Anolis sagrei: one gene and its partner. The protein of the gene in region 1 interacts with the protein of each later gene in a biochemical or structural test. Links are inferred from orthologs where the notes say so. Each region holds a gene or a part of one and is shown on either strand. Other genes may lie near its edges.

What was found.
Region 2: the proteins of SORBS1 (region 1) and FLOT1 form a complex in vitro, tested with the Homo sapiens proteins (2 studies listed by BioGRID). The link is inferred for Anolis sagrei from reciprocal best matches to the Homo sapiens genes SORBS1 and FLOT1.

The regions. Positions count from the first base shown.
Region 1 is NC_090023.1:141,372,074-141,380,226, forward strand, and holds the start of SORBS1 (sorbin and SH3 domain-containing protein 1), read left to right. Parts: upstream 1-5,054; 5' UTR 5,055-5,471; intron 5,472-8,153. UniProt on the Homo sapiens protein: Plays a role in tyrosine phosphorylation of CBL by linking CBL to the insulin receptor. Required for insulin-stimulated glucose transport. Involved in formation of actin stress fibers and focal adhesions.
Region 2 is NC_090022.1:21,579,438-21,587,319, forward strand, and holds the start of FLOT1 (flotillin-1), read left to right. Parts: upstream 1-4,760; 5' UTR 4,761-4,838; intron 4,839-7,882. UniProt on the Homo sapiens protein: May act as a scaffolding protein within caveolar membranes, functionally participating in formation of caveolae or caveolae-like vesicles.

The DNA of each region.
Region 1 (8,153 bases):
TACTAAATTGTGATGGGATGGAAGTAACTGACTAGGTTGCAGGTACCTATATATTTTGTTTGAGTATTTGCCAGATGTGGACACATATACGGAAGCACCAACTCTCCCAAAACATCCAGCAGCAGCATAGATATTTGTTAACTGTAAAGGTTTCAAGAAGGTCTTGTAATCTTATTCAGCTGGCTGTTACCTAGCTCCCATGATGGACAACCACCATAAGACAGGTTTCCAGTCACAGAAACTCTGTATCTGCCTTCAGCCAGTGTTATAAAGCTCTCTTCAGATCTCTGTGTAAAGGTTTAACTTACACGTGCTGAAGCAGGGCTTATGTACACAATCAATTCTGGGCCTTTCACACAGCCATATAACCCAGAATATCAAGGCAGATAAACCACAATATCTGCTTTGAACTGGGTTATCTGAGTCCACACTGCCATATAATCCAGTTTATGTTTAGCTACAAAGCTTGTTGGGAGGTTTGCAGAGAATGAAGTAGAGTAAGAGCCCTTCCACACAGCCCTATATTCCAGAATATCAAGGCAGAAAATCTCACAATATCTCAGTGTGGATTCAGATAAACCAGTTCCAACGCAGATACTGTGGGATTTTCTGCCTTGATATTCTGGGATACAGGGCTGTGTGGAAGGACCCCAAATGATTGAAATTTGGGGTACATGGGGTTAAAGACAAATATTGTTTCCGACTGTAGTATTGCCTGATGATACACAGAAAATTCCTGGGAGTATTTCTGGTTTTCAGGTCTTAATCCAGTGGTTCTAAGACTGTGGGTCCCCAGATGTTTTGGCCTTCAACTCCCAGAAATCTTAACAGCTGGTAAACTGGCTGGGCTTTCTGGAAGTTGTAGGTCAAAACATCTGGGGACCTACATGTGAGAATTTATTTATTTATTTCATTTATTTCAATTACTTCTACCCCGCCCTTCTCATCCCAAGGGGGACTCAGGGCGGCTTACAGACGAAGGCATAATTCAATGCCTGAATCAATTAACAAACAATACAGAGAAGCAATTCAAACAGTTAACAAATTAAAAACATCAATACATAATGAAATAGCAAAACAATCTCATGCTCAGTGTTCAGAGTTCCGTATATCCATTCCATTCCATCTGTCCTTGTTTATCGTCAGATCTTTACTTTAGCTGCCAGAATGTCCAAAAGCTTGGTCCCATATCCAGGTCTTCAATTTTTTCCGGAACGCCAGAAGGGAAGTCGCTGATCTAATCTCCCCAGGGAGTGAGTTCCACAGGTGAGGGGCCACCACTGAGAAGGCCCTGCTTCTCGTCCCCGCCAACCTCCCTTGTGATAGTGGCGGGGTCGAGAGCAGGGCCTCCCCAGAAGATCTTAAACTTCGAGATGAGAACCACTGCCTTAATCGGATTTTGCCCCACTAAGCAATGTCAGTGGATACTACAAGGTTTGTAGGATACTCCAAAGTATCCAGTTGCATAATAGCAGTCTAGACAGCTGAATCAAATCTGTTTCAGTCAAATCCCTTGTCCAGACACTGCCATCTTCACAAGGGAAGGGGATGGCTTGTCCTCAAGCTGCTAGTTTGGCTACAGAGCCCTATACTAGTGCCTGGCTGTTGCTTATCCAGTCTGCTGCAATCAGAAAGGATCACCTGTGCTATCAGCAAGAAGCAGGGAGATAATCTCTAGGAGAGACAACTGGTGTTTTGCATGTGGGCTTTGAGAGGAAAGCCCATAGTTCTGATTTGCTAAAAATGGATGGTAAGGGAGCTTATGCAGTCATCTGCAACAGCTGTGGTATATTAAAATAAGAGAATCATAGGCTGGAAGAGATCATAGAGGTATCAGCCCAACCTCCTGCCATGAAGGAACACAGGTGTCCTGAGCCCCTCTGACAGTGAGGACAAGGGTTTGTAAAAAGGACAGTACTGGAATTGGAGACCAGGAGCTCCTACCAGTCTTCCCAGCCTACCTTAGTTATTGCAGGAGGAGCAAGCAGAGGACAGTACATCAGGGCAGGCTGATGAGGGGTTAAGAGTTCTGTCCCTTTTAACAATTCAGATGTGAGCATGCTGCTAACAGTAGATCTGTGTGATTAGCAGAGGAATAGGGAAATAGGCTCTTCCCAAGCAAAAACTGAGAACATAGAATAAAATGCTTTCAAGTCTGTAGTCCTGTTTCTGGACTCTTTGGATTTGTTGACTTTGGAACTGTACCTTGGTCTCTTCATTTGGATTTTTGCTTCCAAGCTTGGACTTCGCTATTTGTGACTTGTTGGCTTTATTGATCCTGGAATTTGAATTCTTGTTGCTGCCTTGACTCTTGAAATCTTTTGGCGTGGCCATGTTGATTAGGATTTGGAACTCTGAACTTGTATCACCAACAAAGATTAGTGTGCAGCTATAAAATAAAGCCCCAATCACTCTACCTCTGGGCTGTTCATATGTTATTAGTTTGAATATTATTTATTTACCTCATAGTATTCCTAGTACATACTGCAAAGATGGAGACAGTTAAAGTAGGGTGAAATAAAGAATTTGTACTCAGAATTTATTGTAGGCTATCATTCATGGTTGAGTATGACTGTTTTCCAAGGGCAGAATCTTGTTGGTGGGTCCTATTCAGAATGGTTTGCCACAGTGAGGACATCCATTTCCAGATGGAATGCTGTCCCAACAAGAATTTGCTTGACGTTCTTTCCTCTTGGCATGTTTCTCCCTTTTACCCTCTATCTGAGCCTCTTCAAAATCCATAGTACTCTTGCTAACAGCTGACCTCCAGTTACAATGCTCAGATTTCCAGCTCTTTGTTTATTCCGCATTTTTAAAGGTTAGTTTTAAATCTTTTTCGCTTTCCACCAACATTCTGTTTTCTGTTCTTCAGCTGAGAGTATAGTAACTGTTTTGGGAGATGATGATTGGGCATTTGGATAATTTGGCCAGTCCAGCAAAGTTGACGATGAAGGATCACTGCTTCAATGCTGGTGGTCTTTACTTCTTCCAGAATGCTGGCAAACTGTGCCTATCTTCCCAAGAGATTTGCAGGATTTTTTTGGAGGCAACGCTGATGGAATTGTTCCAGAAGGGTAGAGTGATGTTAGTAGACAGTCCACATTTCACAGGCATCACAACCACTATAATCCTCGTCATCGTCATCATCATTGGCTATCACTTTCAGCCGACTCTGATTCTCTTCCAAGTGTAGAATCCTAGTGGTGGGTCTGCAAATGACTGTACAGACCTATTCTGGATCTGCTGGGTTTTTCTAAGTGAGGACATACATTTCACAGTTGTACAACAGAGTTGCAGGGACAATATCTTTATAAACAAACATCTTGGTGTCCCTACGAACACCCTAATCCTTGAACACTTCATTTGAAAAGATACTGCACTCACAGAGCTCAGACCGTGTTGTATTTCAGCGTAGGTATCAACTTTTCTGGAAAGGTAGCTGTCTATGGGTTGTGACCTGAAATGGGGGTCCCTGTCAGGGTCACAAAAAATTGGACTGCGTAGTGTTTACAGTGCACAAAAATAAAGACTTTGTCTACAGAATTTATCATAGGCTATCACTCCTGGCTGAGTGTGACTGTTTTCCAAGGGCAAAGTCTTGGTGGTTGGTCCTATTCTGGATCTGCATGGTCTGTCACAATGAGGGCATCGATTTCCAGATAGAAGGCTGTCTCAACAAGGGTTTGCTTGACATTCCTTCCTCTTGGCATGTTTCTCCCTTTTGTCCTCTATTTGAGCCTCTTTAAAATCCATAGAACTATTGGTAATAGCTGACTTCCAGTTGACATGCTCAGGTTCACAGTTCTTTGTGTTTATTCCAGTGGTTCTCAACCTGTCGGTCCCCAGATGTTTTGGCCTTTAACTCCCAGAAATCCTAACAGCTAGTAAACTGGCAGTGATTTCTGGGAGTTGCAGGCCAAAACACCTGGGAACCCACAGGTTGAGGACCACTACTCTATTCCATATTTTCTAAGGTTACAATGAGAACATGGATTTCCAGAAGGGAGGCTGGATCTTTCAGTCTCTTTTGTTGTTCACCAGCATGCAGTTTTCCATTTAATGGATGACCATCCCAACTATTCCTGCCTCTTCAAAATCCGTAGCACTGTTGGTAAGGGCGCACCTCCAGTTATGGAGCTCCTAGTGGCGCGATGGGTTAAACCCTTGTGCTGGCAGGACTGGTTGACTGACAGGTTGGCGGTTCGAATCTGGGAAGCAGGGTGAGCTCCCTCTGTCAGCTCCAGCTCCCCATGAGGGGACATAAGAGAAGCTTCATACAGGATTTTTTTGTTTTTTGTTGTGTCAGGAGAGACTTGAGAAACCGCAAGTCGTTTATGGTGTGAGAGAATTGGCTGTCTGCAAGGACGTTGCCCAGGGAACGCCCGAATGATTTGATGTTTTATCATCCTTGTGAGAGGCTTCTCTCATGTCCCCGCATGAGGAGCTGGAGCTGGTAGAGGGAGGTCATCGGCCTCTTCCAGGATTCGAACCTGCGACCTGTCAGTCTTCAGTCCTGCCGGCACAGGGGTTTAGCCCACTGTGCCACCGGGGGCTCCTTCATACAGGATGGTAACACATCAATCATCTGGGCATCCCCTGAGCAATGTTCTTGCAGACAGCCAATTCTCTCACACCAGAAGCAACTTGCAGTTTCTCAAGTTGCTTCTGACATGGAAAAAATAAATCCCAAGACTCCAGTTACAATGTTCCCAATATGGTTATTCCATAATTTTTTAAAATGAAGGCCACACAAAAAAGCAAAATCCGCCTCTTTAGCAAGCCTTGCAAATGTTTGATTAGTATACTATACCTGGCATCACGGGTGGAGGATGTTTAAGGAGCCCTGCAGCAGCCTCATCACACTAGACTAGAGGACGAATCCACTTTAAATCCGGTTGCTGCCTCCTGCAGAATTCTGGGGTTTGTAGTTTAGGGAGGAGCCTTTAACAGCCCCAGTGGGGCTGTTAAAGGCTCCTCCCTAAACTACAAACCCCAGAATTCTGCAGGAGGCAGAAATCGGATTTAAAGTGGATTCGTCCTCTAGTGTGACGAGGTAGCTGGTGGCATCAAAGGAAAGAAGGAGGCACAGACCTGGATCTCTTCCTCTCGTTCTCTCCTCCTTCAGCCGGTGGCCAGCGTGGGAAGCCTCTGGAAGGAAGCTCAGGGAGGGAGAAGCCAAACGGGAGGCAGGCAGGCAGGCTCGGTTTCCCTTCTCCTCCTCCTCCTCTTCCTCCATTTCTTCTTCCTCCTCCTCCTCCTCCTCTCCCGCGCGAGGCATGTTAATGAGGGGGAGGCGCCGCCGCCGCCCATTGGCCCTCCAACTGGCGTCGCTCTGAAGTCAGTCACGCAGAGAGGGCTTTTCTTGTCGCCGGAGGCAAAACACAGCGGGGAAACATTGATACGAGGCGGTTTATTGTCCAGCGTGGAAGCCGGAGAGAGGGCCGCCGCCGCTGCTGCTGCTAACGCCTCAGGTAAGAGAGCGGGGCCTTTCGCTTGGGAACCACCAGGCCTCGTCGAGGGTGGAATCCGTTTATGAGGGGATGGGGGGAGGGAGGGAAAGGGAGGGGGGCCGCGCGCGCTCCCGTCTCGCGCTCTCCCCTCCTCGCGCTCCCGTCTCGCGCTCCTCTCTGGCGCGCGCGCTCTGCCCTGGCTCTCTCGGAAGGCCGGTGGTCCGCAGCCTCGCTGCCATCACAACAAATGCCATTTCGCACCTCTGCGTTTGGTTTCTCGCCAAGCAACCGTAATCCTTGAGATATATAGACTATTGCAGTTGGCCTCTGAGGTGCTCATTCGCTTGTTGGTGACAGGAGTCCTCTTGACTGCACACACAGCAGGAATCAGCTGATGATGGGAGTCCATTTTGGGGCCTTTGGTGGCTCGCGACCGGGAAAATAGGATGCAGAGGGTCGGGGAGAAGCGCCACGGACTGTAGTTGATGGAGAGGTTGAAAGCCTGAGCGGATAAAGCGTGTCTCTAGATCTGGAAAGGGGGGGCAGCATCTCCTCCTGCCAGGTCCCAGGGACAGTTCTTGCCGCTGTCCCTCCTCGCCTGCAGAGAATGACATTTCCAGGGCCCCATCCGCTCTGATAAGCCTTCTTGTGAGTGGAAGGAAGGAGCGCCAAAGTGGCCTAGTGCTTCAGCCAGGCAATTTTTCAGCAGGTCCAGGAGTCAGCAGAATAATGGACCACTTTGGGCCCTTCCACACAGCCCTATATCCCAGGATATCGAGGCAGAAAATCCCACAATATGTGCTTTGAACCGGGCGCCCTTCTACACAGCCCAATATCCCAGAATACCAAGGCAGAAAATCCCACATTGTTTGAGTGTGGATTCAGATAACCTAGGGCCCTACCGCACAGCACTATATCCCAGGATATCAAGGCAGAAAATCCCACAATATGTGCTTTGAACCAGGGGCCCTTCCACACATCCCAATATCCCAGAATACCAAGGCAGAAAATCCCACATTATTTGAGTGTGGATGCAAATGTGAGTAGATCAATAGGTACTGCACCGGCAGGAAGGTAACGGCTCCCCATGCAGTCATGACCTTGGAGGTGTCTATGGACAACGCTGGCTCTTCGGCTTAGAAATTGCAATGAGCACCACACCCCAGAGTCAGACATGATTGGACTTACTGTCAGGGGACAATCTTTACTTTTACCTATTCTAGAATACAGGCTGTGTGGAAGGGCCCTTTGGGGGAGATTGAATGATATCTCACTAGGCAAGACACTGCCTTTGTAAAACTATGTATGGCTCCTTTGAGCCCCTTCCTCACAGCTGAATAAAATCCCACATTTTCTGCTTTGAGCTGGAATATATGACAGTGTGAACTCAGATAATCCAGTTCAAATCAGATATTGTGGAATTATCTTTTGGCTGTGTGGAAGGACCCACAATATGGACTCAGATATTCCAGGGGCCCTTCCACACATCCCTATATCCCAGAATATCAAGGCAGAAATTCCCACAATATCTGCTCTGAACTGGATTATTTGAGTCCACACTCAGATATTGTGGGATTTCTGCCTTGATCTTCTGGCTATGTGGAAGGACCTGCAATGTGGAAGCAGGTATTCCAGGGGCCCTCCCACACATCCCTATAACCCAGAATATCAAGGCAGAAAATCCCACAATCTCTGCTTTGAATTGGGTTTGCTGAGTCCATACTCAGACAATGTGGAATTTTCTGCCTTGATATTCTGGGATATAGGGATGTGTGGAAGGGCCCCAGGTGTTCATCAATCAAAGGTCACTCGGGACCTTTCCACACAGCCATATTACCCAGAATATCAAGGCAGATAATCCACAATATCCATTTTGAACTGGGTCATCTGAGTCCACACTGCCATATAATCCAGTTCAATATGGATTTTATACAGCTGTGTGAAAGGGGCCTAGGCATGAGACCGCCTTTGTAAAACTGTGTCTACCTCCCTATGTGTTGACTGATCAAAGGTCACGGGAACATTCCCAGGGATTGCTTTATCTGGGGTTTATTAATTTGCACACAAAATGTAAATAGGGCCATTTTTCTAGCAGGATTTTCTCCTGATGTTTCACCCACATCTGTGGCTGGCATCCTTGAGTGATTCTGACCATAAAAGCCTTTGACAAAATAAAATATAAACACTTGACTGTTGTTTTTTTTTACTTTGACTTTATTATATACACAATCCAAAAAAAACGTACTCCTCTACCCCCTCCCCCTCCAGCCGGAAGTGTTTGTGGGCCTCTCCATGTCCTCCAGTGTCATTCTGTGGTGTGCTTCTTGCCCAAGTATAGTCACAATACAGGATTCACTGTAACCCATGGTTTCTGGTATCTTGGAATGTATCGCCTGCCAATATGGGTCCGGGGGGGGGGGGGGTTGTGCTGTGTATTTAATCTTGAATGAGAGAAAACAAAATAGCGAGCTTTCATGAATTCAGTCAAGGTTAGCTCCTGCTCAGCAGAAAATAAAACCATTTCTTGTCTGTGTGGCACTGGAACTTGCTGTTGTGCTTCTCTACTCAAGATGGTTTCCGTCTTATTAAATGAAGCAAAGTTGCTGTAGGTCTATTGTACATATTCCTTTCTCAGGAAACCTTATGTGTGGTTTTGGAAATGTTAAGGGCTTGACCAAATCGTTTATTTGACAAAGATGGTTT
Region 2 (7,882 bases), on another chromosome or scaffold:
AGCATAATTGTCTTCTCTAGGCTTTCCTGTCTCCTCATGATGTGGCCAAAGTACTTCAACTTTGTCTCTAGTATCTTTCCCTCCAGTGAGCAGTCGGGCTTTATTTCCTGGAGGATGGACTGGTTGGATCTTCTCGCAGTCCAAGGCACTCTCAGCACTTTCCTCCAGCACCACAGCTCAAAAGCATCGATCTTCCTTCGCTCAGCCTTCCCTAAGGTCCAGCTCTCACATCCGTAGGTTACTACAGGGAATACCATGGCTTTGACTAGGTGGATCTTTGTTGCCAGTCTGATGTCTCTACTCTTCACTATTTTATCGAGACTGGACATTGCTCTCCTCCCAAGAAGTAAGCGTCTTCTGATTTCCTGGCTACAGTCTGCATCTGCAGTAATCTTTGCACCTAGAAATACAAAGTCTGTCACGGCCTCCACGGTTTCTCCCTCTATTTTCCAGTTGTCAATCATTCTTGTTGCCATAATCTTGGTTTTTTTGACGTTTAGCTGCAACCCGGCTTTTGCGCTTTCTTCTTTCACCTTGATTAGAAGGCTCCTCAGCTCCTCCTCGCTTTCGGCCATCAGAGTGGTGTCATCTGCATATCTGAGGTTGTTAATGTTTCTTCCAGCAATTTTCACCCCAGCTTTGCATTCATCCAGCCCCGCACATCGCATGATGTGTTCTGCGTACAAGTTAAAAAGGTTGGGTGAGAGGATGCAGCCTTGCCGTACGCCTTTTCCAATCTTGAACCAGTCTGTTGTTCCGTGGTCAGTTCTGACTGTTGCTACTTGGTCCTTGTACAGATTCCTCAGGAGAGAGACAAGGTGGCTTGGGATGCCCATCCCACCAAGAACTTGCCACAATTTATTATGATCCACACAGTCAAAGGCTTTAGAATAGTCAATGAAGCAGAAGTAGATGTTTTTCTGAAACTCCCTGCCTTTCTCCATTATCCAGCGGATATTGGCAATCTGGTCTCTGGTTCCTCTGCCTTTTCTAAACCCAGCTTGAACATCTGGCAACTCTCGCTCCATCACTAAAAAAAATTGTAAAGCAGGAGGCAAGGCTGTGTTTGTGGCCCCAAAAGCCATCCAGGGATTTTTAAAAAATGGTTTGAAAAAGTTTGGGAAAACTGCATTTTAACAGCCTTTTTAAAAACTAGAAGTTACTTCTGTTCATTTTCTGAGCCTAAAATGTCCCCTACAAATGGCAAAAACATTCTCCGCTTCTAGAGGGCATCAGAGAGCTTGGGACAAGAAATTGGATTTTTCTCTCTATTTTGCTGTGGGATGTATGCAGCCCCACAAACAAAAGTTGCCCAAAGGGCTAATATAGCCCTCTAACTTTCTACAATTTCCTACCCTGTAATGGAGAGTACAGTGTTATTTGTAAAGCATTTCAATATTATATAATAGAACTAAGACCCAACTCTTTTGGTCAGCATACCCAGTAAATGTTATTGTTATGCATGATTTTGATGTGATGTACTCTTAGGACTATGTCTTTTTAATATATGCTTTTCAATGGTCTTCTGTTTCTACATATTTCTTTTAACTATGATTTACCCTGCCTCAAGCCTTGAAGAGAGGTGGGTAACATTATTATTATTATTATTATTATTATTATTATTATTATTTTGCTGACACAAAAGCACAGTATATCACAGCAAACGAGATCTATATGCTGGATTTCGTATCACAAAATCACAAGTCGAACACTTCCCAAGCGTCTAGGACTGTGTGATGTATTTTCGGATGATGCGCACAGATCCAAGTAAGGTGGCCTTTTGCAGTTGACAGATTGTGATTTTGTCAATATTTATTGTTTCCAAATGCTGGCTGAGATCTTTTGGCACGACACTCAGTGTGCCGATGACCACTGGGACCACCCGTACTGGTTTATGCCAGAGTCTTTGCAGTTCGATTTTGAGGTCCTGATAATGGATGAGTTTTTCCTGTTGTCTTTCTTCAATGCGACTCTCACCTGGTATGGTGATATCAATAAATCTTTTTTTTTTTCTTTTCCACTATCCTGATGTCTAGTGTATTGTGTTCCAAAACTTTGTCAGTCTGGATTCGAAAGTCCCACTGTAATTTTGCATGTTCATTTTCCACTACCTTTGCAGGTTTATGATCCCACCAATTCTTTACTGCTGGCAGGTGGTACTTGTGACATAAGTTCCAGTTATTATTATTATTATTAATAATAATAATAATAATAATAATAATAACTGGAACGTATGTCACAAGTTATTAGGAGTGGCGCAGTGGGTTAAACCCCTGTGCTGGCAGGACTGACAGGTCGCAGGTTTGAATCCAGGGAGAGGCGGATGAGCTCCCTCTATCAGCTCCAGCCAGGCCCGTAGCCAGGATTTCGTTTCGAGGGGGGCTAAAAAAATTTCGGGAGGGGGTTGGGGGGGGCTGAGTTTCGGGGGGGGCTGAGTCTGAGTGAAAGAGGGTCTAGCCTAGCAAACCTTTTGTATCATTACCCCAATACCCCCATGCATATGGGATATATTGAGTATGGTGATCAGATCATGATATGAATAAACATGACAGTTTAAATAATGCACCAGTAAGGCCTTTTCGTGAACCACCATGAGAATGCCTGGCTCCAGCTCCTTATGTGGGGACATGAAAGAAGCCTCCCACAAGGATGCTAAAAACATCAATTCATCTGGGCATCCCCTGGGCAACATCCTTGCAGACGGCCAATTCTCTCACACCAGAAGCGACTTGCAATTTCTCAAGTCTCTCCTGACATGACAAAAAAAACCAGACCCATATGTAATTTTTGAGGTTTTTATCACACTGAGAGTAAAAGGGGCTACAAAGCTCTGCTTGGTAAGGGTCACTCGCGGAAGCCAGGCACAGTTGGTACCGGGTGCAGGGGCTCCACGCCAACAGAGGCAAAGGCAGACTGCCCAGATTAGAAGTTAAGGATTTCCCTATTAGCTAAAATACAGTTTATGAAGATAGTGCCTGTTCCTGTGGACAAGATTGATAGAGAGCCAATAGACTGTTAAGAAAGCATTAAAGTACTTGTTTGTTTTCATGAATAAAGAAATTGTTGAACCTTTAAGCAATCTAAAGACTCTGTTTAAGGAAATCCAAAGGCCTTTAATCTGAGGCAGCCCCGGCGTCCCGTTGGGCACACAGAATTTATGTCCTGTCTACAGTCTTATGCACAGGCCCAGCGTGCGACAGCATATATACAGTTGTTGTTGTGTTCATTCGTTCAGTCGTCTCCGACTCTTCGTGACCTCATGGACCAGCCCATGCCAGAGCTCCCTGTCGGCCGTCACCACCCCCAGTTCCTTCAAGGTCAAGCCAGTCACTTCAAGGATGCCATCCATCCACCTTGCCCTTGGTTGGCCCCTCTTCCTTTTTCCTTCCACTTTCCCCAGCATAATTGTCTTCTCTAGGCTTTGCTGTCTCCTCATGATGTGGCCAAAGTACTTCATCTTGGCCTCTAGTATCCTTCCCTCCAGTGAGCAGCCGGGCTTTATTTCCTGGAGGATGGACTGGCTGGATCTTCTCGCAGTCCAAGGCACTCTCAGAACTTTCCTCCAACACCACAGCTCAAAAGCATCGATCTTCCTTCGCTCAGCCTTCCCCAAGGTCCAGCTCTCACATCCGTAGGTTACTACAGGGAATACCATGGCTTTGACTAGGCGGATCTTTGTTGCCAGTCTGATGTCTCTACTCTTTACTATTTTATCGAGATTGGACATTGCTCTCCTCCCAAGAAGTAAGCGTCTTCTGATTTCCTGGCCACAGTCTGCATCTGCAGTAATCTTTGCACCTAGAAATACAAAGTCTGTCACGGCCTCCACATTTTCTCCCTCTATTTTCCAGTTGTCAATCATTCTTGTTGCCATAATCTTGGTTTTTTTGACGTTTAGCTGCAACCCGGCTTTTGCGCTTTCTTCTTTCACCTTGATTAGAAGGCTCCTCAGCTCCTCCCCGCTTTCGGCCATCAGAGTGGTGTCATCTGCATATCTGAGGTTGTTGATGTTTCTTCCAGCAATTTTCACCCCAGCTTTGCATTCATCCAGCCCCGCACATCGCATGATGTGTTCTGCATACAAGTTAAAAAGGTTGGGTGAGAGGATGCAGCCTTGCCGTACGCCTTTCCCAATCTTGAACCAGTCTGTTGTTCCGTGGTCAGTTCTGACTGTTGCTACTTGGTCCTTGTACAGATTCCTCAGGAGAGAGACAAGGTGGCTTGGAATGCCCATCCCACCAAGAACTTGCCACAATTTATTATGATCCACACAGTCAAGGGCTTTAGAATAGTCAATGAAGCAGAAATAGATGTTTTTCTGAAACTCCCTGCCTTTCTCCATTATCCAGCGGATATTGGCAATCTGGTCTCTCGTTCCTCTGCCTTTTCTAAACCCAGCTTGAACATCTGGCAACTCTTGCTCCATGTATTGCTGGAGTCTTCCTTGCAGGATCTTGAGCATTACCTTACTGGCATGAGAAATAAGGGCCACTGTACGGAAGTTGGAGCAGTCTTTCGCATTTCCATATACAGTATATGTCTGTAACTAAAGGACTGCCTGTATACAGCTTTGCCTTGGGGGGGGGGGGAATCCCCTTGGAGGGTGCAATATGAGGAAGCGGCCAGCAGGTGGCGCGGCGCCTGGGCTTGCATTGACTCTCATAGCTGAGTATTGGGAACATGGGAAGGGGAAGGTAACGGGGCCGAGGGCTGATGGGAAAGCCTTGGTGTCAGAGACGGGAAGGGAGTGTCTTCTCAGAGCAGGAAGAAACACACCGAAGAGGAGGAGGAAGAGGAGGAGGAGGGCCATCGAGGGATCTTACGGCTTCGGGTACAGAGTAAGTGGGGAGGGGGTGAGTGGGAAATATAATATAAATAATGGGGGCCAATGAGCAAGGGCTTTGCCTGTTTCCAAATTGCACAGTGTCTGCTTGCATTGCAAACCTATTGCTTCCTCCTCTTTGCAACCTTCTGGAGCTGCCTCTAAGGAGAACAGGGCTAGTGCTTTGGCACTGATTTATCCTGGGCTGCATCTAGGATAGAAGCAATACCCTGGCTCAATACTATGGGATCCTGGGATGTGTAGTTTTCACAAGGTCTTGAGCCTTCCCTGCATCAGCAAACTACAAATCCCAGGGGTTCCAAGAGCAATGAGTCATGGCAATTGGAAGTGATGCCAAGCAGTGTAGAGATGCACCTTCAGGCCCCTTCTACACTACATTATCAAAGCAGATAATCCACATTATCTGCTTTGAACTGGATTATGTGAGTCCACACTGCCATAAAATCCAGTTCAAATCAGATAATCTGGATTTTATACTGCAGTGTAGAAGGGGAATCCGAGTTTCCCTCCATGTTCTATATTTGTGCATCCACACTATGCATTTAATCCAGTTTGGGACCCTGGGATCTGTAGTTTTCCCTTTTGGGCAGAGGTTAAATACCTTTAAAACTACACTTCCCAGGATAATATAGTGCCCTGTTCAGTTAAGATTGGTGTCAAACTGTATTAATTCTACAGTGTAGATGCACCCTATACTGTAAAATCTGTAGTTTGTAGTTTGGTGAGGCACAAGCCCTCTTTGGCTGAGAAGGTTAAAGAACTACATTTCCCATGATAATATTGAGCCCTGTTCAGTTAAGATTGGTGTCAAACTGTATTAATTCTACAGTGTAGATGCACCCTGTGCTATGAAATCTTAGGATCTGTAGTTTGGTGAGGCACAAACCCTCTTTGGCTGAGAAGGTTAAAGACCTTTGAAAACTACACTTCCCAGGATAATATTGAGCCCTGGCAGTTAAGATTGGTGTCAAACTGTATTAATTCTAGTGTAGATGCACCCTATACTGTGAAATCTTGGGATCTGTAGTTTGGTGAGGCACAAGCCCTCTGTAACAGAAAAGGTTAAAGACCTTTGAAAACTACACTTCCCAGGATAACATGGAATCATGGCACATACAATCGGCATCAAACTATGCTAATTCGACAGTTCATATGCACCCTGTACTATGAAATCTTAGGATCTGTAGTGTGGTGAGGCGCAAGGCCTTTCTGGCAGAGATGGTTAAAGACCTTTGAAAACTACACTTCCCAGGATAATACTAAGCCATGGCAGTTAAGATTGGTGTCAAACTATGTTAATTTGACAGTGCAGATGCACACTGTACTATGAAATCTTGGGATTTGTAGTTTGGCAAGTTTCTTGTATCTTACTTAAGACCAGAAATTGATCTACACTAAGCAAAGAATACAGTTTGCACCACTTTAATGCTATGGGATCCTGGGATTTGTAGTTTGGTGAGGCACCAGCACTCTTTGGCAGAGGAGGCTCAAGACCTTGTAGAACTACAACTCCTATTATTCCATAGCATTGAGCCATGGCAGTCAAAGCAGTATCATACTGAATTCATTCTCCATTGCAGGGAGTGCTCATTTCATAGAATTGAAATGAGATAAGAGATAGGAGGGGTCCCCAAAGGCCATCCAGTCCAACCCGATTCTGCCATGCAGGAGAACACAATCAAAGCACTCCCGAAAGATGGCTATCCTGCCTTTGTTTAAAATCCTCCAGAGAAGGGGACTCCACCACATTTGAAAACTAGCTGGGGAGGTAAATAATAGGTTGTGCAGGATTTCAATGTGCCGAGCATTGATCCACAAGTAAGGTTACTAAATGCCCCTTAGTACGTATATAAATGATGCCTCTTATTAGATAGCCATAAAAGTTGTCTTTTTTAAAAGACTGAAAAGCGTACTTTCGTATTGTCGAAGGCTTTAATGGCGGAAATCACAGGGTTGTTGTAAGTTTTTCAGGCTACATTTCGGTAGCATTCTCTCCTGATGTTGCTCCTGCATCTGTGGCAGGCATCTCACAACCTCTGAGGATGCCTGCCATAGATGCAGGTGAAACGTCAGGAGAGAATGCTTCTGGGACATAGCCATACAGCCCAAAAAACTTACAACTAAAGTGTTCTTTCATTGGGTGCTCACTGAAGAGGTAAACAATGAGTTGTAGGGGGTTTCTGTGCCCTATAGGGAAACACAAGTGCCAAGCTCTGATCCATAAGTTCCTTCATATATAAGAGATTGGCCAGAAAGCTTGTCCTTTTATAGGACTTGCAAGTAAAAACACGCCTTTGGGTGGGAACTAGCTGGAGAGATAAACAACAGGAATTTCTACGCCCCGAAGGGAAACATGCATGTGCTGAGCATTCTCCATTAGCAGGACTGCCAGATGTCTCTTGGTACATATAAACAAATGCCCAGGAAGGTTTCCTTTTATTAGTAGGACTGACAGTTGTAATGCACTGAGTGTGATGCTGAGTATTGAGCCACAAGTAGAGTTACTCGATGTCCTTTATTATAAAAGATCACCCTTATTTGGGGTTGGAAAAGCTTATCCCTTTATAGGACTGACAATTGTAACATGCATTTAAGTGGGGAGGTAAATAATGTGGATTGCAAAGAATATGTTACACGGGCCAAGCATTGATTGACAAGTAGGGTTGCTAGAGGTCCCATAGTATAAGATATGTAACTTATTTGACACTAGCCATCCCCTGTCACGCGTTACTGTGGCCCAGTCTGTGTATATGAGTTTTGTGTGTGTATATTTGTGTATATGTGTATATGTGTGTTTGCGTGTGTGTGTGTCTATATAAATAAAAATGTAATGCTCGTTTGTGGGATTAGCATAACTCAAAAATTTGGACACAATACACCTATCATGCTAACGAGTGATCATCACTCATAAAAACATTGAAAAACACAGCGAAAGATACTTAAAAAACCAACAAACAAAAATACATTTAAACACATGCGCAAAACCGTGTGTGTGTGTGTGTGGTTTTGCGCATGTGTTGTAATGTAATTTTTGTTTGT